Struthio camelus: one gene and its partner. Each later gene encodes a partner of the first gene's protein in a complex. Links are inferred from orthologs where the notes say so. Each region holds a gene or a part of one and is shown on either strand. Other genes may lie near its edges. The genes, in order: ADGRG1 and CD81.

Region 1 (14,885 bases):
ATTACCAGTACAACATAGTTGCTCTGCTCTTCAGCAGAGCACATGTGATAGAGAGGGTTGGGGATGAAATCAACCCTTCCTTCATCAAAATAGCACCGAATTGCCTTTACCAGGGAAGAAGTAATGAGATGCGCTGTCAAGGGAGGTGTTCTTCTGGCCCTTGAAAATATAGGACGCGCTGAAGATAAAGCTGCTGTTCTTTTCAGTCTTCTGATTTTCTTTGCCCCAGATGATATTATCAGACAGGTCTTTTCCCAGGAGAAAGTTCTGCTTTCCATATGCAAGCTTGAGGGTCCTGTTGGGCTTGAACCAGTAGACACAGAAGCGGTACCTGCCTAAAGTCAAAGGCAAGCTGTACTTGTAATAAGAGTTTCTCTGGTTTGGCAAAAAGGGCCCTTTTATTATCAGTGCCTGGGCTGTGTTCTCAATGGAGATGTCGGCAGGGCTGTGCTCGTAGATGACAGAGCTGTTCTCAGTTTGGTTTCGTTCACCGCAGAAGCGGAAGTCCTCTTCTTGGCGGCTGCTCTCCTCCATCCCTGCATTGCACAAATGCCAGGAAACATTCACCTCAGCCTGAGGGCTCCGGGGTCAGGGACGGCCACCCCCCCGGCAAATCACCTGCTGCCACATCAGCCAGCAATCATGTGCGTTACGACTCAGCCACCCTGTTAGCCTAGGCTCTCCCTCAAACATGCGTGACCCCATCCTTGGCTGAAAGAGTGACTTAAGCCAGCTTCGTGAATTGCCCACAGTTACACTCGGAGGTTTCACTGGTGAGCCGAGGCTCCTTGATACGTAGGACCTCCCCTCTCTCTCTAGGCCCCAGCCTCTCCCATATGCAGATCCCCAGGGCTGGCAGAGTCCAATAAAGCAAAGGGGTTCTCCATCTCCATGGGGTCTCTAGAAAGGATCAGACCACTTCCAGGTCTCTGCCTTGGAGACCCCAATGGAGCAGGAGCAAGAGAGGAACTCAAGCTTTCAAACAAGGCCAGGAGACATTTCTAGAAACCATGTTGCAAATACCTCTAAGTACCCCTCAGCCCTCTCATTTTGGGGCTGCCAATTACTTCCAGCAGCCCAAATCTGGCCAGCCTGGGGCAGGACATGGCTTGAGGCAGCCTACCTGGGAGCAGGAAGAGAAGGAGCAGAAGGAAGAGTTGCATCATGGATGGCTCTCTCTGCTTTGGGTGCCTCCAAGGAGAAAGCGGCACCTAGAAGGTCGCAAAGAAAAGGAGCCACGTGAGTAATATGGGATGCCAGGAGCGTTGCCTGCAGCCGCAGTGCAGGGTCAGGGGACGGAGAGCAAAGCCTGGCTGCTACCCAAGTGAGAAAGCAGGAGCGTCTGGCTCTCCTTTAGGAGATAACCCTGGAAGGGGCTCCCTGGTGCCATTGCCATCAGGAGGAGCCATGGATACCAGGACACCCAGCACGGCTGGAAGGACTCCAGGCGCGAGAGAGGCAGGCAGCCCAGTCCTTGTGCCCTTAGCACAGAGATGGTGCCTCACTGCGCCCTGCATGCACCCCAGCCACTAACAATTCAGCGCAGGAAGGGATCCCTCTTCCTCTTGCTGCTTCAGCTCTCGGTTCATTTGCTGGCTTGTTATCACAGGCGATAGAAACAGAAGGAAACAGCAGTTTCCTACTTTGCCAGGCCTAGATTTATTCTCACTGGTGCTTTCAGCTCCTAGAGATTAGCTGAGGGGCTGGTCATGTTGCCAGCCACTTTGTGGCCAGCAAAAATGGCTGCACTGAGAGATAAATCCTGAGCAGCCAGGCCAGCAGAGATGAAGATGGAGCAAGGTCCAGAGGAATAACCCACTCTGGGTCCCCTGTTTGCAAAGTCAACCAACTGCTCCTGCAGCATAAAAGCACAGCTGCTGAGAACATGGCTCAGGCCAGCTCGGTTCACCTCGGACATTACCGCCTGCTGATCACTGCCAGGACTGGCCTGAACCGCAGGTGAAATGAGCTGCCTGGACACAAGTCCCAAGGAAGGGGGAGCCCTGTGCCTGCATTACGTGAACCGGATGGCCTGCGGGAATGGCCCCTTTGCAGCCTTTAAAAAAGAAAATAAAAAGCAACCTACACTATGCAGAACCGCAGCGCCTACCCAGAGCCACATGTCCTGCACCCTGTAGCCCAGGGCTACTGCTCCGTGCGGCATGTGACACCAGAGCACGGGGCTGACGGCTCCTTCACTCGTGCTTGTCCTCTGATGCAGCCCCGTCTCGCAGCAGGAGCCTCGGCGCCCACGGAGCAGCTCTTTCCCAGCTCAGCCTCACCCAGCTCTGACCACCTGGAGCGGATGGGGCTTTGCCCTCTTCTGAGGAAAGCAGCCTTCCTCCGCTCCCTGCTCACGGCCCAAAACCACGATCAGTCTCAGCGCAGCTTTTGCAGCGGCGTCCGTCTGAGTCAGCCCTGCCTCTGCCCGCAGCGCTGCGATGCTGGCCCTGTGTCCCTTGCGCATGGGGATGGGGAGCCAGGAAGAGGGGCAGAAGCTGTCCAAGCAGCGGATCTGAGAGCAGCGATCCCGGCTGCCAGCCAGGCTGCGGTCCTGGGCGCTCCTCCCCGCCACCCTGCTGGGCTCGTGCCGCAGCACCGGATCCCCTTGGACCAGCAGAAATTCTCTAACAAGCTTCTGCACTATGTTATTAAAGACACTAAGTCGCCAAAGGGTTGCAGGAAAGGTCTCAGGAATGGGAACCTAAGACAAAAGTAGTACGAGATGGGTTTAAACCAAATAAAATAAGGACTTCTGCATGCAGACAGGGAATTCCAGCAATCCCTGGAGGCGGTGGAGGCGAGGGCCAAAAAGGGACCAGGCACATTCATGGATAGCAGGTCCATAAACAGATCCGGAAAGGATGCACCCACGAACATTGCCCGTCCAGCAATGCTGGGCGTGGGGGAGTACGAGGGAAACGCTCGGCAGAAATCAGCCAGGCACATGTGGTCTCCCTAAATAGCATCCCCTAATGCCACTGGCGGTGACAGGGGACAGACCTGATGTTCATTCTTACGGCCAAAGTCATCCCAGCCATGCGGAAATCGGCTCTCCCGGGCTCTCCCTGCCCTGCCGTTAGTCCGCATGGCCTTGAATAAGCCCTTCTGCCCCAGCGCCACCCCACATCTTGCACGCAGGCTCAGTGATGCCAACACAGCAAGCGCAGCTGCCAAAACCCCCCTTCTGCCCCCAGCCTAGCTGCACCCGCCGCTGTGGGGCACTTGCACAGAGCCATGGTCTCCCCGCAGAGCAGCGGCGGCAGGCCGAGGGCTGCGGGGAGCAGAGCCACCCCGGCAGCGCTGCTCTGCCTGCCGCCCCAGGGAGCCAGAGCCGATGCCCCGAATTAACCACATCTGTCCGTCGCCCCTGGCAAGCTCCCCGGCACCCTTCTCTAACCGGCCTGGCAATGTCCTCTCAGTCTCTTCTTTTTTGCCTCACCTCTCTTTTCTCCATGATCCAGCCACCTCTCTCCACTCGTCTCCCCCTCTCTCACACAAGTCCCCCTTCTCCGAAGCTCCCAAACCGTGCAGGCACCTACAAAAGCACAGATGAAGTCTGTGACAAGCGGGTTCCTCCCACCCCTGCGTAAGAGGTGCAAAGCGGATGCCTGGAAGGGTCCGGGCACCAGGAGGGGACGGCACGGGAGGGGACGGCACGGGGTACCATGCACGTGCAGGTGCAGGAGCCGCTGGCTGCAGGGCAGCCCCAGGGAGCAGGAGGCTGTGGGGCAGAGTGGGCATAGGGGGACCTCAGTGACAAGGCCAGGCGCCTGGCTCCGCGGCGTCCTCACCGCACTAGCAAGGAGACGGGACCACCTGGGCGGGTGGTGTCGCTCCACCCCAGAACTTCACGCAGCGCTGGGAGCCCAAAGGCACTAAGGGACCCACACGTCCCAGCTAACCACGCGTTTCTTACCCTCAGGCCCTCCCATCTCACTTCACCCATCCCCAAGGCCACCGTGTCAACCACATCTCTGCCTCAGCTACGCCATCTGCCATCTCTAGAAACGTCTCGCCTTTTCCTTGCCATGCTTTCACCCTCCCTCGACACAGCAATAGCTGGTGGCCGAGTGGGGCTAGGCCACGGCCCGTGAGCCCCAGCATCAAGCCTGGCTGGTTAGCAACGCTTTGAAGAAAGCTGCCTGATGAGAAAAATCACTCGTGTTAGTCTTGACCACACCAGCACCCAGGAAAAAGCACTTTTTCACAAATCCTGGGTGGAAAGTCTTGACTGAAAACAGCCAACATCTGAAAAACTGAGTGGATCAGGACCTCAGCAGCAGCAAACAGTATAATGCAACCTGTGAGAGCCTCAAACTGAGCCTCCTGAGAGTGGAAAAGTATGACTCAAGGGCTGGATGGGCCGGCCAGGCTGAACAGGGCGCCCCTGCACCCCGCGATGCTTATTAATGCCCAAAGCCAAGCCAGCGCCTGGTCCTGCCGCCGCCGCCGGGGCTGCGTCCTGCTCCAGCATTGCTCTCAAAATCATCCCCGATGAACCTGTCCAGCTGGCGGAGGCTGATGAATTTGGTGCCTGTCAGGGCTGTTCCGCTCCCGGGGGCAGGAATCACTATTATCCATTTAAATAAAAGAATGGCAATCGTCTGGCAGCAAATGAGCATCGGGGAAGCTCGCAGCCAAGCAGGTTGGCCAGGCTCTGGCAAGCATTGCCTGCAAAGGCTTCATTTGCCGCACAGCTGAGAAATTTTTGCCCCACCAGCAGCGCGATTTCAGCAAAGAGGGAGGAACAACAGACGCACTGCATGCGAAAGACAAAGAAAAAAGCCTCATTTGTGATTGGGGAGCTTTCAAAGGCATCTGAGGCTTGTCGGTAGGGAAGACCAAGGGAAAACTGCTTGCTTGGAAACGCAGCATCCTTAGCTGGTTACTTGATGCCCTAGCAGCAAGGCTAAGGGAAGAGGGGTTTAGCTCCAGCCCATTTCTCCTAACGAAGGCTGGGAAATGCAGCAGCCCTCCTCGCCTGCTGCCATCGCGCTGTTTGCTCACGACCTCGATTAGTGTCAGTATTGTTCAAAAGCAGCTTACCACCGCCACAAGGTGAACTGCCTCGTCCTCGAGCTCCCCTGCTACAGCCGCCTTCGCGAGTGGAGGAGGAAGTTTCGCTGGCCAGCCAGCTCCGTGGCCACATCCTGCACCCACCCATTGCCTGCCAAAGCCAGTCAGTGGCAGCCCAGCCCTGGGCAGCCCCTGCTCCCGTCTGCTCCTGGGAGCAATTTGCCGCCCCTGGAAGATGGGGCCATGGGTTTGCAAACCCGCCTGCCACCACGGGAGCATGGAGGTAGGATGGCAAAATAAAGCTGGCTCTGTGCAAACAAACACGGCAGGGAAGGGGGTTAGGATCAGAAAGCAAACACACCCAGCCACATGGTTATGCTGTCTGCTAACCTGATCCGAAGGATGCCCTACAAGGAGATGCACAAGGGCTGATAACCACACAGTGAGCAACGGAAAACACCTGGGCTGCTTAAAAGCAACCCCCGCCAATGCAACACTGACATTAAAGCGGGGAGCAACAAGCCCGTGGATGCAAAACCCGGTGTATGGGCATGCACACACCACGGCGGAGAGCTGACGCGCTGGGGACACGAAGCACAGGGCCCTGAGGTGTGGGGTCGGCAGAGCTGCGCCTACCCGAGCTCGCCCAAGACCAGAAATCCCCATGGAGGGGCAGCTGGTATTTCCCCTCTGAACCAACTGGCCCTGCTCGCCCAGATGCAACGCAATGCTCCGTTGATTGCTGTTTCCTGAGCCAAACAATAGCTGAGATAAAATCCCCTGAAGTGGCTTTTCAATGGGACAACTCAGCTCCCAGCTGTGCCCACAAAAGGCAGGGCTGCAGCCCGCGGCAGTGGCTGGGGCTGCCCGGAGCTGGGTGCCCCGGGGGAGGCTGTGCCCCAGCCACCGCCATCCCCGTGGGGCTGTTACGTGCTGGGTCCTTGAGCGAGCACCCAGCACGGTTTGCTTCCCATCCGAGGGCACCCAGGGGGATGCCATGCTGCCGTACCCTGATTTTTCCCTATGCAGCTCCACGCGATGCCCAAGCAAGCCTGGCACCCTAACACTCCTCGGGAGCCTTCCTTGGGCCAGTCCATCCTCTGCCTCGCCTGCCCTGGGCTGGCTAGGGTCCCTGGCCCCTCTTTCGGGAGCTTTCTTAGAAATCTGCAGCCTCCTGTTTTTCAACAAATGCACTCCCCCATGCCAGCCCCTTCCACCCTGCTGGCCTCTCGGGCCACCGGCCCTACCTTGCATCCTTCCTGCTCTGGAGCAGAAAGGGCTTCCCGCGCCTTGCGCCCACTCCCGCCTCACTGGCCGCCGGCCGGCCGGGCTCCTCCGAGAACAATAGCGCCTGGAGGAGAAGTTCCTGCTTTGGCCCGCGTAAACCAGAGCGCAAGGAGGGCCCTGGGGGCACGAGCTGACCCGAGGGGCCGGGGATCAGCAGTGCGGCCCATCAAATCCGGCCCCTCGCGGTGGCTGCAAGGGGCTGTGTTTCCCCCGAGCCCCAGCTCCAGGAGGCAGGTGGTTACACAGCTTGCCAGCAAATAAATGTTCTGGCCTTTGGAAAAAAAGCCTAGGAATGTCAAACTATGTCCTCTAAACCTGGAGGGAAGTGGGGGCGGGGGAGGCAGTTTTTATTACTACTGAGAAATCTGATTGCTGTCTGGGTCACTTAGCGCCAGGTATTTGAACGCTGGGAGGTGGCATGTGGGCTTCTCATGTGATCTTTTTTCCAAGGAGAAGGGAAGATGTTCTCATATCTTAAACAAACACCGGAAACGCAGAGATCCCGGGGCTTTTCTCTCGCTTTCGCTTCAAGGCTTGTTAGGAAAATACGCCAGCGCTCTGTGCCTCGATTCTCCCATCTCCGAGACATTAGCAAGCACCTGGCTTTTCGCCCGCGGCTGTTATCAGGGGGAGCAGAGGCCAGACCTCAGGATGCGGATGGGGAAACCAAGGCAAAGAAAAGGCAGCGAGTTGGCCCAGGCCACAGCAGGCTGCTGGAGACGCCGTGCAGAAGAGCTTCACCCGACCGGCAACCACAGACACAAGCGCCCGCGAAGCGCTTTCGGGCCGGGGTTGAAGCTGCAAGAGGGAGCAGGCATCCCTCCGCCAGGAGGGGATGCTCAGGAGTGCCCCGGGCTCCGTCACCCACCCGTGCCCTCCCGCGCTGGCCTTCACAGGGTGCCTTTGTCCTTGGCTCGCGGTTACACGTCTGCAAGGAAGCCGTGCAAACAGGGGCCAGCCTGCACATTAGTCACCATATCGGTATTCGAGCCCTTCCCGTCACCGGTGGGCGTCAGGCACGCGCTCACCCTCCGCCTCGACCGCTGAGCTCTGGACCCTGGCGCGTTTGCAGACGCCCGCAGCATTGAACCGGTGGCTGTACTGAAAGGTCGGCGGTGCCAGGCGTCTGCCGCGGGCTGCAATGTGGTGTTTCGGTTGGCAGCCAGCTCAGGTTTGCCCCCGCATCCTGGCACGGGGCTCGGCTGGGGGCTGCACACAGCACTTCGCTTCAGCGGGCACAGGTTGAATTTTGCAGACAGGGCCGAAAAAAAATTAAAGACCTGATAAAAACTCCCACGGGTCCAGCCTAGGTTCTTTCCAGATCTTCTGTCCTTCATGGGCTGCTAGTAAACATCTCCGGAGAAAGACGTGAGGGAATCTCATCCGACAGCTGATGGGGAGGATGCCGGGGGAAGACGGCACAAATGGACGGCTGGTATCTGAGACTCTGGAGGCAGCAGCTTCACTTAAGGCTGTATCTCAAATCTTCAAAATTACAAAACCTCCATTTCCTAAAACACACCATGGCCACAAATACCTCAGCTAACTAAACCATCCAGTGCTACCTCGATTCTTCTGTAGCAAAAGGGGAACACAGGGCACCTCAACCAGCAGCATGCAAAGCCCGTGGCTTTGCCAAGGGCTATAAATGGTCTCCAAAGGGGCAGGTATGTTTGCAACGATTTCAGGCTTGCTGCAGTCTCAGAGGAGCAGCTTGCATCTCCCAAGTGCTGCACTATTGATGCAGGAGGGGTGGCAGGGCTGGGCCACAAGGCAAGTTATGTAAAGTTTGGGGGTTTCCGAATCCCATCTGTGAAATGGGAATCAGCTGGTTGGGGCTGGGGTTAAGACACGGGAGCTCCCCCAGCAACCTGCAAAGTGCGGCACTGCGGTACTGACCTTGGCCTATACGTGCAGTCGTTCTGCTAGGCCGCCACGTAGAGCGTGCACCCATTGCCCACCTTTGGCCCTGGTCACAACCAGCAGCTCCGAGCCAAAGGGCAACAAAGCTTTTCCCCGCTCTGGGATGAGTGGGTCCATTCGGCTACAACTGGATGGATCACGCAGCATCCCCCAACTTTTGGAGGAGAATGCCAAGAAGCAAGAAACCTCCCAGGGCTGCAGGTTGCCTAACACAAAACTGGAGGCATCTCCTCCCTGCCTCTTCTCAAAAACCTCCCACATTGCACAACACAGGTGTGCATAGTCCCTCCTGCAACCTTGAGATCAGGGCCCCGCTGGCATCCCACGGGCATGGGGAGACAGGGATACTCTTTGGGGGTCTTTGTGCCACAGACCAAAGCAAGGAGTTGCTTGAATGTGACTAAGACAGCCAGAGCTGCCTCTTTCCTTGAGGCACCAACACGGTCAAGGAAAACACTCTGTTCTCCTCCATCCTGGACAACCAGCAGCAGCTGCGAGTACAACAGATCTGCCAAGGGTTTCATCCAGCGGTGGCCCAGATCAGATCCATGCATGGGGCAGGTCCTCCTGGACATCTTCAGCCTACCCTTGGCCAGGTGCTGACTGCAATGGTGGGGTGGTCCAGGAAGGACATCCCAAATCGGTGTTTTCCAGCACTCACTGCCCTGGCCTGGCCTTTACAAGATGGGTCCCAGCCACAAGGTAGCACCCGTCGAAGCTGCCTGTGTCTGCTTCACGCTGGGCTGTTGTTGGAACCGCCATCCTTTGTCATGAGAAACCACTTGGCCTCCTCCTACGTGTCGGCTTGCACCTTCTCCCCATCCAAAACACCAATTTCTGCAGCTTCCAAAGCTTCCTATCCCAGATGGCTGTGAAGCAGTGGCGCAAACTGTCATCGCTGCTCTGCTTCCCATGGGATCATGCCATGCAGAGGAAAGGGGGGTTAATGTCAACCACCAGAGTGCTCAGCACGTTCATCCTACATCCCACACGTGGGCTGCAGGTCTGTGCCTGAGACTGTCAGGTGACAGCAGTCACCAGAGCAGGCATGATGGGACCAGCTAGAGACCTAGTTCCTCCTTACCTGCGCCAGATGCTGCCTGAATGTGCCATTCAGGTCTGGGGAGCTGTAGGTCACAGCAAAGTGAGGGTAGTTCCTCCAGGTCTCTTCCCCGTCTGCACGAAGCAGCTCTGCATCGCTTCCCAGTCTCGTGGGTGCCAGTGAAGGGAGATTTAGGGTAGTGCAAAGCAGAGCAGCCCAGAACTGCTCCGGATCGGGTGCCGAGGCTTTTCATTTTTGGCCCTGGAATCTTTGAGAATGGCAGCAAAACCGGAGCCTTGCAAGGTATACAGGGGCTAGGTTAAACCAGGCCTGCTGGGCTTTCCTCACTGCAGAAAGGTCAAGCACAACCAGAGGAAGGCTGCAGCGTCTCCGCAAAAGCAAAGCTCCTGGAGCAGCAAAACCTGCGCAGCACCAAGCAGCAAAGAGCTCGAGCTGGAGTAACCGGCCCCACCAGGGTTTTATGTGCCACATCTCCCTGGTCCTTCTGCAAGTTTCCTCCAGCTCCAGGACTTTTTACTAGCTTGAGGAGTACTTGCTGGAGGAGTCTGTCCGTGATTAATACCTCCATTAAATACTACCACCCAGGCTGGAGAGGGTCAGTGTGTGCCCTCGATGAATGCCCGCTCCTGCACATGCCTTGTCATCCCTGCTCCACGTTTCCCTCCTGTTGGGTTTGAGGAGCCAGGTAGGAGGCCCTGGGGGCCAAATCCCCTCCAGGTCCCTGCCAAATCGCAGCTGTTGGGGAGCTGATGGAAAAAGAGTTGGCGGGTCCAAGCCCTCCTGAAAAACAGGCACCAGCAAGCTGCGCTGCTGCCCAGCTGGTACCACATCAGCCACAGCCTGTGAAAGTTTCTGTCTCCCAGCCCAGTGGAGCCATGTCCCGCTGGCACTACCAAAAGGTGCAGGCACTGCCAGCCCCAGAGTCCCCCATCCCAGCAGCACACAGTTGCTTGCAAACCTGTTGCTCTGCGAATAACAGCCCCTGGCCTGCAGGATTAAGAGCTGGATGGCAATCAACTATGCAACATTTTTAGGCCTCGGTCTGATTCATGCGGGAGCTGCAAATGCCGTGGAGGCACAGCAAAACCTGCGGTGCCCAGGATCAGGACTGCACTTCAAGGATTGCTCAAGGCCCAGCCTCTCTCTCCCAGGCTCATTCTCCAAAACCGCCTCTGGGTGCCAGGTCCTGGTGGAGTTTGAAGCAGGGTACTGAAGGCCTCAGACCATGAAATGAGCTCTGGCTATGTTCCCTGCTCAACTGTGATTCAGACTTGCTGCCAAGGGGTTATTCCAGGAGACTTAATTCCAATTCTCTGGCTGGTCTCTCTGGGTTTCTGCTGGTCTCTCTGGCTTCAAGGGGGTAGTTCAGCCAGCTCAGAGATGGTGAGCGCTCTGAATCAGCTCTGAGCCCTGCAGACCCCGACGGTGTGCCAGAACTAGCAGAAGCAAATTGAAATTTTTCATGAGGCATCCCCCAGCAGGCACTTTTGGGGAGAGAAATCACCCTGTTGAGACACGTCAGTCAACCTGCAGGGACGCTGCGCCCTCTGCGAGGAAGGAAGAGCCAAGTGCACTGGTGGTTCCCTCAGGGCTGGTTGAGGTGGGAAGTGGTGGCCACACGCGCTGCGCTGTGGTGGGGTGCTTTGCAGTGCTCAGCTGTGCTCGAGGGAGCAGCCGGGAGCAGCTGGCCCTGGCAAGGCACAGGGGGGATTCACAACTTCCCAGCCTTGGAATTCAGCCTGGCTCCAGGGGCAGAGGAGACGGGTGCTGGGGCAGGCAAGCGAGAGCCCAATTTAGCAAGGAGACGAATGGCCTGTAGGGCCGGGCTAGCTGGCACACAGGAACAGAGGCTTCAACGCAGAAGTTGCACCTCAGACACGACTAGTGCAGTCCAATGGGGAGACCCCTCTCTGACTCTGCCAGGACACAGACGTGCCACACACCCAGCTCCGGTGCGCGATGGGAAATGTCCTGTCACAAGCCTGGACCACGGTACACCCCAAAGCCTCCCATCTGTCCCTGCTAGCACCCATTAGCTCTGTGCAGGCAGGCTGGACAGGGCTCTCTGCTCCCTGCCCACCATGCAACCGTCACCCCGGGGTGCTTCCCAGCGGCAACAGTCCCAGTGGGTGACGGATTCCCACGGTCGTGTTGGCCGTGGCTGCGGAGCGCCACTGCTCAGGCCCCTGGGGATACCGGCTGCCCAGCACTGCCCTCCCTGCTGCGGGAATCAGGGCCCCGCAGGGACAGTCGGGGACAGGCGTGCTCACCGCCAGCACCTGCACCCTCTGCAGACACATGCCGGCTCCCTGCCCACACCCCAAACGCACGGAGAGCCAGAGACCCCGCAGCACACCCTCCCTGTATTCCCAGGAAGGGGGTGTCAGAGAGCACCCCGCCTCCGTGGCCGCTGGGATCTCCGCAAGTAAGCGCACCTGATGCGCCCTGCAGCTGCCCCATCCCTCCCGCTCCCTGCCGAGCCCTCCTCTCTCCCGACGCCTCTCGCTGCCCCAGCGCTGCGGCTCCCCAGTCCCCCCAGCTTCCGACCCCCTCCCCGCTGTGCCCCATGCCTCGCAACACCCCATCGCTTCTGCTTCGCAGCCTCTCGCCAGCCTCCGGGCTCCCCAAACCTCTCCCAGCCCCAGCCCTCCGGCTCCGCCGGCCCCAGACCCCTTCCCCTCCGTGCCGCTCGCCGCGCCTCGGGTACCTGAGCCGGGGCCGGGCTGTGCCCGCTGCCCCGGGGCGGCGCGGAGCGGCGCGGAGCGGAGCCCTCGCACGCGGCGGACGGGAGCGACGCGGCTCGGAGCGGCTCGGAGCGGTGCGGCTCGGCTGCGCTTGGCTTGGAGCGGTTCGGGTCGGAGCGGTGCGGCTCGGCTCGGCGCGGCTCGGCTCAGACGGAGCGGTGCGGCTCGGCTGCGCTTGGCTCGGAGCGGCGCGGCGCGGGTCGGCTCGGACCGGACGGAGCGGCGCGGCTCGGCTCGGAGCGGCTCAGCTCGGACGGAGCGGTGCGGCTCAGCTCGGCTCAGCTCGGCTCGGCTCGGCTCGGCTCGGACGGTGCGGCGCGGCTCGGCGCGGACGGAGCGGTGCGGCGCGGCTCGGCTCGGCTCGGCGCGGCTCGGCGCGGACGGAGCGGCTCGACCCGCCCCCGTCCCCGCCGCTTTCCCCAACAGGCGGCGACGCAGCGGGGGGCCCCGCCCCCGCCCCCCCCGCCGCCGCCGCCGCCGCCGCCGCCGCCGCCGCCGCCCTCCAGCATCGCGGCCGGCGGTGCCCGTCCGCCCCGGCCCCAGCACCTGCCCGGCCCGGCCCGGCCCGGCCCGGCTCTGCTCAGCCCTATGCAGCGCGGCTCTATCCAGCCCTGCGCAGCCCAGCTCGGCTCGACTCGGCCCGGCCCGGCTCTGTCCAGCCCTACTGAGCCTGGCTTGGCCCAGCTCAGCTCTGCCCGGTCCCAGCGCTGCCGCCTCGGGGCTGGCAGGGCCCCGCTCTCCCGGGCCAGGCTGGGGATGGGGCTGGCCCAGGGTGCAGCGCAGAAGGGCTCTGCAGGTGCCAGGCTGCCTTACCCTGCCCTGCTGTCCTGGCTGGGGCTGGGGAGGGCACAGCCAGCCAGAACGGGGGCCAGGGAGCCGGCAGGGGCCATGACCGCAAGGGGAGCAGGTAACCGGAGGTGGCCCAGAACTCCAGGGTGCCCCAGGACTAGGGAAGGACGGGCTGAGGGCGAGGGCCAGCTCCAGGGTATTTCCAGTTCAGTTGATACGGCACAGGAGCCTGGCAAGTGTTCAGAGCAGGAAAGGAGTTGTTTGGTTGGCAAGCTGCACAGCCTGGCTGCAAAAAAGGCTTAAAAATAAGTTAATAGAAAAGAAGCCAGAACAGAGTGTCCCTGCAAACATTATCCTTATCCCGTGCAGGAAATGAAGGAGACAGAGCAGCAGGGCAAAGAGCAGCAACCTGCACCGCCAGGCTGGTTCGCTCATGGGCTGAACCACACAGCGGGCTGGGGACAGAGGGGTCCCGGTGCCTTCGCAGCACAAGGGGACAGCAAATCCCCGCTCCCTGCGCATCTGGAGGGGATGGGGCTGTTCCCTGGGACGTGGGAGCGGGGTCTGGAGCCTGGACAGAGCGCAACGGTCAGGGCGCGGGGGCTCCTCTGCCTTCCCATGCCCAGAGAGCTGGGGAATTTGCCCCTCACTCAGTGCCAGCGCAGGGCCCCCACAGCCCTCCCGCCTCCCAGCTGCCTTGCGCTGCGGGAGCTGAGGCTGGTAGCGCTGTGACAGTGATGAACTCTGGGAGAGCACAGGGAACAAAGCTGCTGCGGAGCAGCAGGAGAGCGCTGCCAATTTCCACCAAAACCAGCCTTTTGTGAGGGCTGAAAAGAAGCCGCCAGGAGGAAAAAAAAGGCTCCAAGGAGATGTGGAGGGGAGGAGAAGGGAGTTGGGAGGTTTCCAGGAAGTGCCCTAAGTAAATAGTTACACTTGCAGATATTTGCAATTGGTTGAATAGGGCTTTTCTTTCTCAAGGGGGAAGGGTGACAAACAACCTTCCGCAACTGCAGCCACCACAGCAAAGGTGATGGGTGCTCAAAGACAAAGGCCGCCACTGCGGGCGCAGGTGCCGATGGCTGGGGGGAGGCAGGGACGATGGATCCCACTGGCACAGGCGCCGTCCTTGTTGCCATCGCTCTGTTGCAGGCCCAGCAGGAAGCATCGCAAATCCCCTTCTATCTGCTCCCCGAGCGAGGCCGGGTGGTGTTTCCTAGCAGAGGTTGCCAGGATATGGGCTGCGAGGCCGAGGGCCATGCGGAGAGCAGAGATGGAGCCAGGCAACGATATGTCCTGGCGCAGATGAGCTGGGGGGAGATTAGCAGCCCGACGGCCTCAGCGGCATCCCTCCATCTCAGCAGCAGGTCTCTTGCCTGCGTAGTCTCAGCCCTCTCGCCTGCTCTCTGCATCGCAGGAAGCTCCTGCAGGGCCTCTTGTGCCTCTGTCTGCTTTGCCTGCAGATCCAAAGTTATTCCGACTTTGTTGCAGATCCGGAGGCCTGAGGTCAAAGCTGCCGTGAGCTTGAGGCCGCAGCCCCCAGGGGCCGTGGGGTCCCACGTTCAGGCCCGCCACTCGAGGTGGGCTGCCTCGCAGAAAGCCTCCCTCTCCCCTGGGCGCCGCCAGTGCCGGCAATGCGGCCCCGTGCCGGTTGGGCTCGGGAGGCAGCAGGGAGAAGGGCAACAACCGGGACTGAACATCTGTCCAGATGTGCTTGCAGGCAGAGGAAACTTCTCCCCCGTGAAAAACGAGCGGGGGGCCGGCTCCAATGCCGCCGGCAACGCTCCCGTTCCCACGGGAAGCGGGGGCTGCCCATCACCCTGAGCCTGCCGGCAGGGCTGGGCGCTCGCTGCCAGCTCGCGGCGAGCTCATGCGGCCGGTCACGCGGCCGGCTGATGAATGAGGCTCCCTTTGAAGAGCAGCATCCCACGCTGCCGGGACCCGGAGCCGAGCCCCCCAGCGTGCCGGGCTCCGGCGGCTCTGAAAGCAGCACGGCGCGTGCTCATCAGCAACCAGGGCCGCCGGGAGCCATGGCGCAGGCCCCGGCGAGCAGTGCCTGCCCT
Region 2 (15,435 bases), on another chromosome or scaffold:
GCCATGCTGCGTTGCTCTGTATCTGTGGTGTGATAAAGTGGACATACACATCTCTGATTTCCCCAGTCAGGTGTAGGAAAAGGGTGAAGTTGAAATTCTACATGGTCCAGCAGAAATATTCAGACTTAATGATCTCTGTTTACCTTTGAGCATATTGCTGATGAGGACCAGAGAATACATGATTTTTGCAATGTTTTGCTGCTAGCAAGCTCCTGAGAACGATAAACTGAGGATGTTGTCTTGTAGAGGGAAGTTCTCCATAGTGCAGTAGGTGGGTCAGGGTGATGGCCCAGAGCACAGGGAGGAAGTTTCCCCTCAAAGATTGCAAGATGAAATGGCACGAGATGAGCGAGGATGTCTCCTGTGGCGAAAGACTCCTGAGTCCTCCACAGACAGCTGAGTAACGGAAATGTCCTCTCCCTGCACAGCAGGGCCTGTTTGGGTAGTGAGCTCATGTCATGCAGCAGGACTGGAAGGAAAGGTCAGATTTGCTCACTTGTTTCCAGACTCCTCCCACACAAATCCCTTTTTTTTTTTTCCTCTCTCTGTCTCTGTTTTCTTAATTCAATGCAATAAGTGCTTTCCAAAGCTGCTTTCATCTGTGCTTTTCAAAATGCAGTTAAGAGCAAATATTTTTCATTCTAATGACATCAGTGGCCTCTCAGAGATACAGCCAGGAGTGTTGGTGCTTCTTGTGGGGAAATTGAGGCCTGGGGTTATTAGTACACCTCAGTCCTCCTTTGGAAAGGAGAACTAGGCAGGGTACCCAGCTTCACCAGTTGCTTGCTTTAGCCCCTTTAATAGATGGATAAGCAGTCCTCCACTTTTTTCCCTTCCTTTTCTTTTTTTTCTCTTCCACCTCTCCATTAGAGCTACAGGCAGGCCAGCTCACCCCAAAAGCACGGCTCTAAGAAGCCAGCTTCACAGTGGGTGTTGCTGGACTCCCCCTACCCCAGCCCACAGCAAGTGCTGGAAATAGGAGCTTCTGCATTGCTGGGGTTTTTTTTTTTAGAGCTCACCCGGGAGAGGTGCTGAGTCCTGACCATTCAACTCTTCTGAATCCAACTTCTATTGCTCTGATTGAGAGTCGGGTACTTGCATTATTTGCTCTGTAGAGCCTAGGTTTTTTTTTTGTTTGTTTGTTTTAAATCCTGGCAGAAGTGAAGGGTCTCCTGTCACTGACGGCTGGCTACAGGCTGGGAAGGGAAGTGCTCAGACCATCACCTAACCAAGGGGTTGCTCTCTTTCAGTTCCTGTGCTGTGGGAAGCACTCTCCCTTCGGAGAGACGGGAGACATTGAACGTGAGACGTGCCCACTAGGCCATGCCGAGACAGCAGAAGAGGTAGGGAGAAAGTCAGTCCTTCCTTCTTACTTTCTGCACGTGCAGAGATTATGTGATATCACAGGCATGTGTCTGATCTCAAAAACCTGCTGGACTTTCCATTTGATACTAATTTCTGAGACTGAAAAAGGTATTCCCCTAACAGTGAAATGCTGGAGGCGTATATGATGATTGAAACCCCTTTTCCAAGGGTATTGAATAGGTACTTGAAGCAAAAAGAGAAACTGATAAATAAGGATTATTATGTCGAGCAGTAGCTTCAAGTGCATTTAATTCCTCTTTTTTGCAGTATCCCAGTAAAGTGACGGAGAAGCCACCAGTATTCTCTGCATTGAAGTTATAACGTAGACTTTATACAACAGATTTGCTCAGAATATGGCTCTTTCATTGGAGTAGCTAAATGAATTGAAGTAGTTAAAGCTGCTGGCTTCAACATGTATAGTCTAGGAAAAACAAAACCGTGTTGCTACAGATATACAAAAACATCCTTGTTATGCAAAGGTGTCAAGCGCTAATGTTTAAGCACATGTCAGCCTGCAGGGTAGCATTTCAAAACACTGTCTCCTGGAAAACAAATTATTGAAACAGGGTAGAATTCAGATCAAATAGCAGGAAGGAAGAGAAAAACAAACTTGGCTGCTGTGCATGTAACTCGGTTCACTACTTCTAATGGTTTGAACTTCCTCCAGTTACTAGCTGGGGGAGGTAAATGTGAAGATGCATTTTGCAGCCTGGGAAACCACAGGATTTGGTGGTTGCAACACACTTACTCTTTGGCATTCATGGTGTAGGGCCGCAAATGCTCTTACCCAGCTCAGCAAAATGCTTGATCAAGGCCATACTTTTACATTTTTGAATGGTTCTCTTGACTTAATGTTTGTCTTGGAAGCCCCACTGGACTTCAGGGGGGCCGCTAGCAGCTTAAAACTAATACCCGTTAATGTTCACAACAACCTGCAAAATTGAGCTAGCTTTGAAGAACATATGTTGCATCGTATTGTGTTGCTCTTCCATGTTTTTGTTTCACTCCTTCCATTTTCCACTAGAAGAAATGTTTGTGCATGAGCATATTTACCTGTGCATGTGCTTCCTGCCCTCAACACAGTCTGAAATGCACCATACTAAAAAAAAGGCATATTTTAGCAATGGAAGATATACTATAGACTTTTAGCTTCCTAAGCTGCAGAGCAAAGGAGTGAAGATGTCCCTCCAGTCTGCAAATGGACCAGCCCAATTCTGCAAGACCCCTCTTGCCTCTGTTTCTGTCCCACTTCATAGCCATGTCATGGTACCAAAAGTCGCATGACGCAGGGGATGATACGGAGGAGGGTGCTGCTTGTTGTTGCCTTGCTCCTCAACCAACAGTGAAAAATACCTCGCTCCCTTTTCTGTCCTCCGAACAAATGTCGTCTCTGTGATAGAGAGTTCTGGAGAGAGATTAGGGGCCTGAAAGTGCTTTTTTTTCTTGAGGTCACATTAAGCACAGTCAGGCAGTGGAGGATGAATTCCCCGTGATGCTGCTGTTCCCTCACAGAGCGTCTCTCTCATCTCAGGATTGCCTCCAAGAGATCCGGGACTTCCTGAAGAAGCACATGGACTTTGTCTCTGCGCTCCTGGCTGTCACCATCTGTTTCATGGTAGCTATGCTTATTCTTTGCTTTTCTAGCCCAGAGAGGCAGACTGCAGGCAGGAGAGTCATGTGCTAAATTAGCCTCAGGAGCCTAGAATTTGGGTGTGTGACTCGGATGGTTTCAGAGCACGGAGTTCAGTGGCAGAGAAATAAACAGTGGTGGACTTGGTCATGGAAATTAGGAAAAAGTCATTGCCTGTCTTGTGGCAGCTGGAGGGATTTTTCTGCAGAAATAGACTCTTTGGACTCTTTCTGCCAAAACTAGGCATGACGGATGGGAAGGGAGAGCAGCAAGGGAGCGGGTTGCAGCAGCATTTGAATTTCATTCATGTGGGTTTTGTCCTGCAAGCAAGGGAGGCCGTGTCACTTGACACAGATGCTTGTGGATCAGATAAAAAGTCAGTAGCAATTGTGGAAAAGGAGATGCAGAAAAGCCCAGGCTTCCAGGAAACGCGGTGCCTCCTCTTACCTAACGCAAACAGGCTGCCTCCAAGCTAAGACTGAAGCCTCTCCACGCAGCAGTAGCTCCAAGGCCTGGAAAGCTAATGAGCACTAACAGTGGAGAGCTGCACAGAAAGGAAAGGTCCCTTCCTATTAATGAATGTCAACGAACCCAGCACAGATGTCTCTTAGGCAGCTGGTGGGTGAAGTATGGGCTTGTAAGGAGCAGGCTACAAGGAAGAGCAGAGCATGTTGTCTTGGCTCCCAGGCAATACCTTTGATGTAGGATCTTGCAGAGGGTTATTTTCAGAGGCTAGCCCAGGTAGAAAGGGAATCACTCATTCTTTACTGAATTTGCTTATTTCTGGGGGGAGTGAGGGTGGAAAGGGCAATAGGAGCATTTACTTTAATGCAGAAGTCAGCGAGAGAGCTCCATGTGGGCAGTTTGTTCAAGAGCTGGAGAGCAACACTCAAAACAAGTCGCCTTTTTTTTTTTATGTCTACCTGCTACTTGGCAGATGTGTATCACATTTTAATTACCTGTCTACAAGGGCCCTATGTGTGTAGTAAAACATGCCAGAAAAGAATACTACCCAGGAGACTTGTGTTTTAAACGTGAAGGTAGGGGTTTTTTTTCCTGCTGTAGTATCTCTGGGCCAAATTTTTCTGACTAAATGTGTATTTAGAGGGTGTCTCTTTTCCTTCTAATTACTTCTGTCTATCTTGGCATAGCATGCAGGGTAGCTAAGAGTGGTAGCTTTACCCTTAATCCTGCAGGCTAATGCTCCCAAAAGGTTGTCCTAACTCTATAAATGCTGTGTGAAAGCAACGGAAAGCCTTGAGCCAATGATTCCCATCTGCTAAGTCCTTCACCAAACAGCGCTTTGTCTTTTATCCCGTTCCCATTAGAAAATGTTGGCAGGAATAACGGGTCTGAGTTGCTCCTCTCGAGTTGCTATGTCTGAAGATAGAGGTGGGTATCTGCAGAGGAATCACTGTGTTTAAACATAGCATAAGAGTAGCATGGCTGATCTATGGAGCTCAGATAGGTGAGAAGACTCGGATGAATGGAAACTTGTATTTCTTTTATACTGCTAGTAGTAAATGAGGAAAACTATGAGGCAATGCTATATGTAGTAGTCTGATCTAGCATATTTCTACTTACACAGAGTTATGTACATACACTAAAATTCAATAAAGCCTCAATACTAAAGACTTAGATGCATCTGAGCTGTTTCTCAGAAAAATCTTAGAGGCATACCTGATGCATAATGCGAAGTCACCCATGAATATCTGGTGTTGCTTTCTAATTTTCCTTGGGTATAGGAGAAATATCACTTCCACTGTGTTCAAACAAAAGTGGGAGCGTATTTTTTTCACAGCTTGATGCTATAGCCAGATAACGTGACTGTCTTTGAAGTACACATTGGAGGAAATCTCACCGAAACATTTACCATTGTGATGGCAGGATGCGAAGGAAGCGTGTGATGACTGGTATGGTTGTTCTGATGTCACTGTCCTTCCAGCTAACAATGAGCCGTTAACAGATGTGCCCAAATCATGCTGCACTCAAAGGCACTTTCACATTAAGGCAAACTTTTAAAAAGAGCGCGGCGTTACAGCCCTCACCGCGCTTCCCGCAGCAGCCTTACCTTTGATAAGTTGCCTGTGTAAATTCCCATATGGCATCAGACACTGCTGTGCAATGTGATATACCAGTCAGCAAATCAGGATATTGCAATACAAAGGAAGCGTACTGTCTTGGTGATGCTTCAGAATCGTGCACGTGCATGTTTCTTTGTAGCCCCAAACAATATATGAGATTCCCCTCCCTCCGTTTTATGTTTACAAAAGGCTATTATAAGATATATGTTTGTTTGCACAGAGGAATGTTTTGCGGCAGGAATTTGAAATCTGAATTTCCTGGCTTCTTCTCATTTTTGGTATTTTTAGGCCTGGGTTTGAGCCGTACTGTGCTAATTCTAATCAGATGCTTTAACCGCATGCTTTTTCTTTCTGTAATGCTGGAGTTATGGTGTGCGCCATTTTGTTGAAAAACAGCTCTTCTAACAAAAGTGTGACATTTTCATACATAACAAGTTCAGAAATGCCAAGTGGACTAACAGGCAATATTTATTATCTTTTTTTCAAGCAGCTGAAGCATCATAATCAGTTCAGTATTTAACTGTTTCCCTCTCATTTATTTGCTTTTAGGTTTATGGAATGATTCTGACTTCATTCCTCTGGTTCTCCATCCACTTCAGTAACAACCTGGACCGAAAAGGCAAATACACCCTGCGAGAAAGGTAGAAATTTGTTGACCTGACTTTCCCACTAGGTAGAGCCAGCTCTTGGCATAGGAAGCTGCCTGAAGTTGTCTGCAAAATCACCCGAGAAGGTGCTGCTTGGGGACAGGAGGCGGGACGGGTCGCCGTTGTTCAAGTTGCCTTTTTCCCTTTCCAGCACTACTAGCTGCTGTGCATTGCAAGCTGATCACTCAGGATGACGCTTTATGGAGTAGCAGTACCACGTCTTCTCGGAAAACGGATGAGGACTGAGGGACGCGCACACCTGGGCTCAGGGATGCAGGTTGCCTCGCTGGGAGCGTGGGAAGGACAGGTTGTAGCTCGGAAATCGGGACACAAACAGCTGCTTGAGGAGGAAAAAAAAGAAAAAAGCCTAGCAAGCCAAAATCACAGCCTAAACCAGGCTGCTTGATTCAGACTTCTCTTGCACTCTCATCTGAGCAATTGTCAGTTTCTCGTGACGCCAAAAGACGGAACGTTTCTAGGAAGATAGCTTTGGATCGTAGCCCAGGCCCTATCTTTTGTTGTCAGCAAGTATGTTTACACTAAGTGTGGCACTGCTAATAGGAAATGTGTTCTCCAACCTGGGCGCTCTTCATTATTGACTCTGAGCAGGTTTCTAATCATATATAAGTATCTAGGCATTGACGTGTTTTTTCCCCCCCCCCCCCCCAATTTCTTCCCTAATTTCAAATATTACCAGACTTAAGGAGCTCTTGCTAGAAGTTAGAATAAAAAAAAAGTAATGCATGAATTTTAAAACATACAACCAGAATACGGATGTATCCTTCTATCACTTCTCCTTTTTAATGCTATACACCATCATTTTTGATTCTTAGGATCAAAGCTCTCCTGGAGCTTGGTGTTGCATCAATTTTATACTGGTTTGTTCAACTTACTGCCTTAGTTCCATATTTATCTTCATTAACCTACCATGCTGTGAAATACAAAAGGACTTTGATATCACACATGGACAGGATTTGTGCTTAAAACGTATAAGAGAATGGGACTGATCTCCAGCCAGGTTAGCAATACAGTGTCCAACTCCACATCCTCATTACATCTTTTTATCAATAATAAGTTTAAATAGAAATTGGAAAAGTCTCAATCAACTGAAGGACTTAGCTTCTCAGTCTAGCTAATCTGATGGCTTCCTGTCATGCTTTGCCCTTCTTGCAGAGAGGCAGAGCCACTTCTGAACTGAAAACCATAGTTGCAATAGTCATAGTTTACAGCAGGGCTTTCAAACGGGAACTAAATGTATGTGAAATGGTGGCTGAAGTAACAGCAGCTTTCGGAAGCTCTCCTTCATTGCAGCTTTTACCCATGAACAATAGTAAGGGGGCAATCCTCTTTTGAAATAAATGAGGAAACCCCAATGCTGATGTTCAGGGCAACTTCTGGCCCTCAGGTGTGGACTGCTACACGTGTAAAAGCAGCAATACAGCCTACAGTACCTTCCCTAATCTGGTTAGTATTTCACCAAGGTTGCAAATATCTTGCATGGGGAAGAACTGCATTAAGGGAGAAAGGACTGTCGCTCCTAATCCTGCCCCCTTGGAACGAGCAGAGTTTCACCGCTGACTTTGCTGGAAGCAGGATCAAGTTCAACCTGCTCAGAAGTGTTACTCGGGCTACCTCCTGGCAGTCACCAACATGCCTCTGTCTAGCAGGGATTTAGTGATATGCTTACCCTAGCAGCTGCCCTTGCAAACATACCCACTTTCTAGCAGCAGGAAAAGATTCAGTTAGATATCTTATATCTTTGTCTCTGGAGAGTGATATGCTCAGTCTCCACTGTGAGCTCTAGCTGTTACTGTCAAGGCTAATGCTGCTGTTATTCCACAAGCCAGCTGGCAGCTCATGTGACTCATGGTGGTTTCAATAAAAGTGAATTTCTTGCAAAGGGCTGTCGTTCCTTCTCTTTTTCTGCAATGCACGAGGCTGTCTGGATTGCTCGGGCGTTTGAGTAACGGGCAGTTGTCAGTGATTCCCTCAGTGCTGGGAAGAGATGTTCCCCGCGCAGCTGGCACGCGCCTGTCGCAGAGGCATGCCTTCGCTGCGAGGACGGGGACGACTGCGTCGATCCCTCCGAGGAAGAGGAACCTGCCAGTTGGAGTAGCTCTCAGGCTGTTGTTTATCACAGCAACTGGCTAATGTGAGAGCAGTCCTGTCCCTCGCAAGGAATAATGCAAGCAGAGGCGGGGGGGGGAAAAAGCTTAAGGACGCGCTTAAGCAATGAAATAAGGAGTGGAGTATTTATATAAAAGGTATCTCTAAAGTTTTGCTTGGAAACTGGAAGAAAGGCTTTTGGTTTGGGGTTTTTTTGTTTAAGTTTTTAAACAGTGGATGTTCAGGTCTTATTCACCCCTTTTCCACCACGCTGTGGTGGCTGGAGGACTAATGAATTCTGCTATATCGAAACAAAAAAGAAAAAGGAGATTCAGCAAATAATAGACTGTATTTGATCAGTGTGGGTTACCTGCTTTAAACTTCATTAACTCTAAAGTCTAGTAGGAGAAAAGATATCCTTGTTAAAGCTTTAGCATTGTGATCAACAGCCACAGGTGTTCCTCTTTCCCACACCAAATTTTAATTTAAAGTGATGAGTATGGACAGGAGCAGCCTGTACATAATAAAGAAACAGGGAAGGGCTCAAATCCTCTTTTCCCCCCCTTTTACCTTGAGTCATTTGTAACCACCAGAACTGCATTTTAAAAAAAAAAAAGCAGGTAAGTTCTAGCACTTGCCATGTGTCTGTGTATATATATACAAATATGCTCACACGTTTTTACATGTATATTATTGTAAGATATATATGCACGTGTCTGTATGTAGAGCTGCAGGTTTCACACCTGTGCAGCGTGTTTTGCCGCAGAGGCAGCGAGGTCGAGAAGGTGACTTGTACCAGCCCTATTCACGGAGGGGCTGGCGTGCCTGGAGCGCGGCCGTTTCTTCCCTACTGCGGGAAACGGACTGGAAATGTGCACTTGCTTTGCCCACTGTGGCTGGAAGTTCCCTTCTTTCTAAGACACTGATAGCTGTCTGTGGGATTTTGATTTTTTTTTTTAAATGCACTTATTTGGGGGTGTGGGTGGGAAATCCTGTCCTAAATTTGTGCAAATTTTTTTTGGTTTAAAAAAAATAATTCAATCCAGTATAAACTAAAGACACTATGCTCTGTACATACGTGCTAGCTGTTTCATGATTGTTTTTATTCCTGTTTCACGTGTTTCTGAATACCCTGGAGCTCCTATGCAAGGAAAAGCATCTCTAATGAGCCCGTGACGGAGTAGCGCTCAGCAGGACGCTGTGTTTAGCCTGGTTCCCCAAGGGAAAGACGCTCGCCGCGAGATGGTCGTAGCTGCTGCTGGTGTGCCTGCGTTTGGGGAACCCGCCACCTCTGAGCTCGCTGGTCAGGATTTCCCACTGCAGCCATGGAAAGTGATTGGTGAGTAGAAAAAGGGCCCTTTGGGGGCCCTCTCCCCTACTGAAACACATGTGACTTTGTCGGTTGAGGTGGGGGCACCCCCGAAACCATGCAGCAAGCCACGCGAGGTGTTGCAGCAGACGGCACGGGTCAGCTGGCGAGGCTTGATGGTGGCAAAGTGTTTCTAGAAATTTTGCTCGCAGCTTATCGCAGAAAAGCGTAGCGTTATAATTTTCTTTTTTTAAAAAAAAAATCACGTATTAGATACTGGCTGCTCACGTAACAGCTGTAATCTTAATGCTGTGACCGGTGCTGGAAAAATGAAGGAGGAAGTTAAGGAAGGTGGTGATGCTATGCTTATGTGTTTCATGCCCCAAGAGATATAGTCGCTCCGAGAGCTCAGGAGGATGGACTAAGCCATTTTAAAACCAGCCAGAGACCAAACAGCAGTTACTTTAATTATTTTTAATAAAATAGCATTTTGACTTTGGACTCATTAAAAGCACGGAGTGTGTTTAAATGTTGTCGTTCAAAGCACTACGTGGCCCTGGCCAGAGGAGCTGAAGGCATTGCTGCAGCAGTGTTGGGGAGGTTCAGGTCCAAAAACAGCACCCAGGCTCTGCTGCTGCTGCCAAACGGCACCGCCTAGCAATACCGTGACAGAAGTCACGTGGCTGGGAAACGTCCAGCACTTTTCTACCTGCGCCAACATGAAAAAAATCATTGCCTGCTCTGTAGCCGGTGTGTTTTGCACCCACTAGTCCTTACTTCGCTACTCCCTGCGCGTGAGCTCCTGCGTAGCAAAAACAGAGCCCCAGTAGATAGATTTCATCCGAAAGCAAGCATGGACCTCCCCGGTGGGAACGCAAGGCTGGCAGCCGGGCTCGGAAACACCTGCAAACCCGCAAGAGGGGCACGGGGGAGGCCAAAGGTGCAAAGTCAAACAAAGTTGGGTTGCGAATTGGCTCCAGTGAATTGTCAGCGAAGCTGCAACAGTGGTCGATTAGTTCTGCTGAGGTCACCTGGGCGAGTGCCATTTGGGCTGTGAGCCGCGGTCTGCCCCGAGCGAGCGTGGAGGGAGCCGGGGCTCCTGGGGCGGACTCGCACGGGAGCTGCGGGCACGCGGCCCTTCTGCAACTTCCCTGACTCGAGTCCGGTACTGGAAAGACCCGAGGAGCTCGGTGCACCCCTGGAAAGCGCAGGTCAAGCAATTTGTTGAGCCTGTGGACAACTCCGTGGCAAGGAGAGCGGGGAGCTTTCAGCCTCCCCTTGAGCTGGCTTGGAGCTGAAAATGTTTTCCTCTTTCCAGCCCTGTTGGCTACATGTCTGTAGGAAACCATCTCCTGTGCAGCTAAAACTGTGTAAATTTGGAAACAGATTTTAAATCTTTTTTTGAAGAAAAGATTGACAGATTGTGATTTTTTTTTTTCCCTTAAACCAGGTGCAGAAACAACATATTTTCAAAACCAGCCTGTTATAACTTTCCTCTGGAAATTCAGCGCAAAGTAGATGTTCCACACAGGAAACTTCAGCCTGTGCCGCTGAAGATGCGCAAGGTAAAAAAACTACTTTGAAAGCACGGCCCTGTCGCGAGCACTCTCCGACTTTAATAAGAGGTGGTGTTGCTAGTCTCTTTTAGTAAAACGCTATGCGCTAGGATGAAAAGTCTTTTGTTTGTTTGTTCGTTTTTAATGTCTGACTCCTCTTCCGGGAGGATTAGCAACGGGTAGTGAGTATTAACCTCGTCCGTTGAGAGATGTTACGTCGGGTAGGATGGTAGGGGAAGGAGCAGGAGAAAGGAGGGGGAGCCGACGAGGAATGTTGGAGGCAGAGGCTGTTTTGGAAAAATCCACGTACTGCATGTTTTACAGCTTTAGGAAGTAGCTGCCAAACCCATGACTAGTTACAGGCCAGCGGATGAGGCCAGTCCCGACTGTGTTCTGGGTCGCTCCGCTCTCCGCCGCGCTTTCCCCCCTTCGCTCCCAGCACAAAGCCTGGAGGTAGCTCAGCTGGCCTGGGCTCTCCCAGCGTCATGGGGAAGAGCGCAGCCCCCTCGTGTCGACTGCTCGTCCCCTGCCCGGGACCACGAGCGCTCTGCAGAGCCAAGGTTAGACCTTGGGCCAGGAAACTCAGAAACGTTCAAAAATACCTAGTTTAAGAAGGAAGAACGGCCGCTTCCAGCCTTGTGGTGTCAATGCGGGCGTACGTTTAAATTCTGGGCTGCCTTTAGTCACCTGAAGGTCTCGGGGACGGTCGAGTAAATTAATGCTCTGAGGGAATCTGCGTAACTACCCCCACCAGGAGGGTTATCATGAGGAAAAGACCTTCTCTTTCTATGGCAGAGATACGGGGTTGTTGCTGAGCTCGCGTCAAGTTTGTACATCTTGGAAGAAATACCCTAAGCAGAGCCCTAAGCAGAGGTGACCACCTACAACTAATGTCCTCTTGTGTTCAAGGCACTGTTCTCTTAGAGCCGGGCAAGCAAAAGGGAAAGGTCCTTTCTTGCATCCTTGCTAGGAAGGAGAATATCCCAGCTTCACACTCCCAGGATTTAGCAATATCTGGGTGGCTGTGTGCCTTTACCGGTATCTGGTTGTGCTCGTGCCGCTTTGAGCAGCAAGCGCGTTAGTGGAAACGGCAAAGCCTTCGGAAGGACTCCCGCTTAATGGAAAATTGGTCCCGATATTGGGAATCCTGAAAGGGACAGGAGGGAAAGGAAGGTGCGATCCTGCCCTGCCGGCATATTTTGTGTTGCCCCTTTATTGTGGTTGTAAGTTCCTTGGGCAGAGATTGTGCCCAGCTGTGTTTTGCGTTGAACAAACTGGAATAAACCTGCGCGGTTGATATTTGCACTGACAACCTCATAGCTACGTACGGGATTAGCATCCTGCCCCTCCTGCTACTAGGAACGGCAAATCGTCTGTCTGGCACCTTCCCCGCCTCTGGGCTGACTCTCGCTTTAACCTTCCCTTAGGTTATTCACATTATTCCAAGGCAAAATCCCCCTCTCTCTCTCTCTTTAGCATAACTAAGAGCGCCTTTGTTTAACCTCTAAGTGCACCAGCTTGCTTGTGGACCTGCTCTTTTTCTTTTTAGCCGCGTGTTGTGTGTTACGTTAGCAATAAGCTATTCCCTTCTAATCTGCATTCACCTACTAATGAATTATACATTGATTATACAACAGCAGCTCTGTGGCCTTATTGGCGGGCTGGGCTGCTCCTTTCACACGGCAGAGCAAAGAATGAATCATCTGGCAAAAACGTAACTCGCCCCAGCTACAACTCGGCCTTTTCCGATGCGTTGAGAAAAACGAAGGTCGGCTTTCTGGTTAGAAAGCAGAAGCGCCCGAGTTCACCGGAGGGGAGTGTCCGCCCTGGGCTCGGAAACCGGCTTGGGAATCCCTGGAGTTTCCTCTGATCCTCCGATGTCCCCTGGTTTCCTCGCAGCCAACCTTTGCTTCTGAAGGCAGTTTTCCTACCTGTTTCAGAGGCTTCAGGAGGAGCCGGTGCTATTCCTCTTCAACATCCTCTCTCCCCTCCTCCTCCTCATTATATAACTCGATCCATCACCATAGATACGTTAATATAAATATTTAAATATGGCAAGGAGACAGGCTGCGCAGACGGGAACCGTTGGTTGAGTTTATTAGAAACAGAAACTTCAGGCACAGCTGCCGGTTTCTGCTTGCCTCGGTCCCCCCGCCCCAAAAGGCTGACAAAAAACCCACGAGCCCCTGTGCTAAGATGGTGCTTCAGCTGAATTTGCAGACTGGGGCAAGGGAACGTCCCAACCCGCCTGCCGAAGCGAAGGCGCCAGCCGCTCCCTCCGGAGCGTGGAAAGCAGATTTTGGAAGCATCTTTTCCTTAGATATGTGTATGAGACTTTTTTTTAATTCAAATGGAAACGTTCGCTGAGGAGGTAGCGACGCACACGCGTATGAAACGTTGCCTGCGTCAGCCCTCTGTTTCCCCTGCTGTAAGCAACGCCTCTGCTCCTCCACCCTCACCTCCGCCTGGCTGCTTGGGGGGTATCTGGGACAGCGTCGAGGTGGCGTTGCTGGACAGGTCGCCACCTGCAATGCCAAGGGCTGTTTTGATTTTTCTTTTCTCTTGGCTGTTTCTTCGTTGCTGCGTATACCAGTTTCTCAGGCTTCCCAGGGACGCCCAGCACGTGCTCGCTCTCTGCTGGGACTGGGGAGAGGAGGAAAGCGAGGAGGGGAAAAAACATCGTCTCCTCTCCCCTTACTTTTTTGCTTTTCTACTGTGGGAGCCAGCACAAATCAGAGCAGTGCCTGACCCTAAAACAGAGGCGAACGGGGAAAGGGAAAAGGCAGGACGCCCTCCGCAACAGGTAGCGGCGCTGCCCAGCTCCCCTAAGGAAGCACGGTGGACCGTCAGGCGAGGGCCCGCAGCAGGCACCGTCCTGCCGGGCGCGGAGAGGGGGTCGCTTTTGGAGGGGGGGCAGTGTTTCGGGCATGAGGAGCGTGGGCAAACTGCTTCTGCAGGTTGCAAAGCCTCCTACTGCCTGGCACCGGCCTTTGGGCACGCTCTGCTGCGGTCTTCTGCCGGCACCGTTGCCTGTTTGCTGGCCCGTTTGTTGCAAATTTAATTTTGTTGCGTGTCTGTGCAGCTTCGGTGCTGTTGTATTTTCTTTTTTTTCCCCCCTACGCTACTTGTTTGCCAGCGACCTTAAGCTACCTGGAACCACTAGAATATAATTAAACGCGTGGCCTCTCCTGAGGCCGTGTAGCTTTACCTTCTCGTTAACGTAGGCCGGTGTCCATGCCGTGCAGTTTGTCCCTAGCAATAATCTAAGGCCCTTTGTTCAGGTCCGTACCTTGAAAAGCAATATTGCATGTTGTTCTCTGACAAGGAAATTAGTATGTCATTTGGATCAACCAGCCTCCTGTAGGATGAATTTGTAAGTGTTTCAGTACAACCCCTCTTGATGCACCTCCAGAACGTCCTGCTTACTGATTTTTGATGGTGCAGTCGTTCTTCTTATTGTCATAGGTAAATTGGAAACCCAGGCTTTTTCTTTCATATTTTCCACTGAAAGTAAGATGCAGTGATTAAAAACTGGCTAGGATTTCACCTGCAAAATAACAGGTATTTTATTCTGGTGCTTTGTAATCAGATGTTTGGCGGTGGTATTTTCTGCGCTAGCCGGGAGGAGGATGGGAGAGAGGGAGGCTAACCGGCGGGATTGCCACGTGAAATGAAAACGTGCAACTGTAGCTCTGCATTGAATTAGGATCCCGTAAGCCCGGGCGGATGAGGCACTTCCCTCTGGCCTCTCAAATTGCCCAGCGGCACCGGGCAGGTCCTCAGTGTTACGCGTTTAGAGCCAGGCTTGATGATAATGGCTTTACACCCTTATAGCCAACTTTCCAAGTATGCTCATGAGAAGGGAGAGGAAACGGGCCTGTCCTCCCTGGGTGGTTTTGTGTTTTTCTTTTTGTTTTTAACCTGGAGCTGCTGGAAGGGCTGGAGAGCATCTGCCCTCTGCAAAGCAGGTACCCCAAAGCCACTGAGCCCTGGTGGCAAGGGACTTTGCTTTCGAAAAGCAGGACTGGGAGATAGTTCAGCTATATGTTTGTTTTAGCAGACCCTGGTGAGTCATATCCATAGATGTCAACTATGCCAAAACCCACAAGCACGACACTCGCTTTTATAAACAGCATAAAATAAAAAATAACAGCGGACCAGAGGAAAAACACTGCAAACATCTCTGGTCTCTGCTGCTTTACTCTGTTTAAAAAAGTAATTGCAAGAGCAAATTTAAATGGCTGCTCTTGGATTGGGTGTTTTTGGTTGTTATTTGCTTGTGTTTTACTTTTTAGACCCTGATTTAAGCTTCCCACAGTCTTTCAGTGGTGCGAGGCTTTGTAGATGGGTAGTTTCTCTCAGAGATTTTTCTGAACTGCCTGCAGCTGGCTTCAGTGTAGATGAGCATGCATTAGCGTAGGGTATTGCTGAAGGCTTGAACCGCAGCGAGCAGGGGCAGGGGCTGCTGTCGTCCCAAAGGAAGTCATCAACCCTATTCATAGCACTTACACCCGCTAACACCATGTGACACAGACGCATGAACTGAACTTGTGCAAATTAGTTTCTTATTTGTACGAAGGCGTTTTGAAAGAGCTGATAAAGCTGCTAAGAGTTTTTGAAATACATTTTTGGTACTGTATACACTGTACTGCAAGCATTGCAGCATGGCAGGAATATACAACAGCTGAAATCACATGTAATCGTGGGAAACAGTATATGTTATCTTGACACCGTGCCA

What was found.
Region 2: ADGRG1 (region 1) and CD81 share a complex: the UniProt entries of both Homo sapiens proteins name them as parts of the GPCR-tetraspanin complex. The link is inferred for Struthio camelus from reciprocal best matches to the Homo sapiens genes ADGRG1 and CD81.

What each region holds. Positions count from the first base shown.
Region 1 is NC_090951.1:30,113,148-30,128,032, reverse strand, and holds the start of ADGRG1 (adhesion G-protein coupled receptor G1), read right to left. Parts: upstream 5,634-14,885; 5' UTR 5,299-5,633; coding exon 5,050-5,298; intron 3,539-5,049; exon of another isoform or gene 3,458-3,538; coding exon of another isoform or gene 3,443-3,457; intron 1,212-3,442; coding exon 1,124-1,211; intron 537-1,123; coding exon 111-536; intron 1-110. UniProt on the Homo sapiens protein: Adhesion G-protein coupled receptor (aGPCR) for steroid hormone 17alpha-hydroxypregnenolone (17-OH), which is involved in cell adhesion and cell-cell interactions.
Region 2 is NC_090946.1:18,543,309-18,558,743, forward strand, and holds the start of CD81 (CD81 antigen), read left to right. Parts: upstream 1-9,016; 5' UTR 9,017-9,157; coding exon 9,158-9,171; intron 9,172-10,591; coding exon 10,592-10,706; intron 10,707-15,435. Other genes in the region: TSPAN32 (tetraspanin-32), read left to right, coding at 1,251-1,343, 2,897-2,980, 5,629-5,720, 5,878-5,920. UniProt on the Homo sapiens protein: Structural component of specialized membrane microdomains known as tetraspanin-enriched microdomains (TERMs), which act as platforms for receptor clustering and signaling.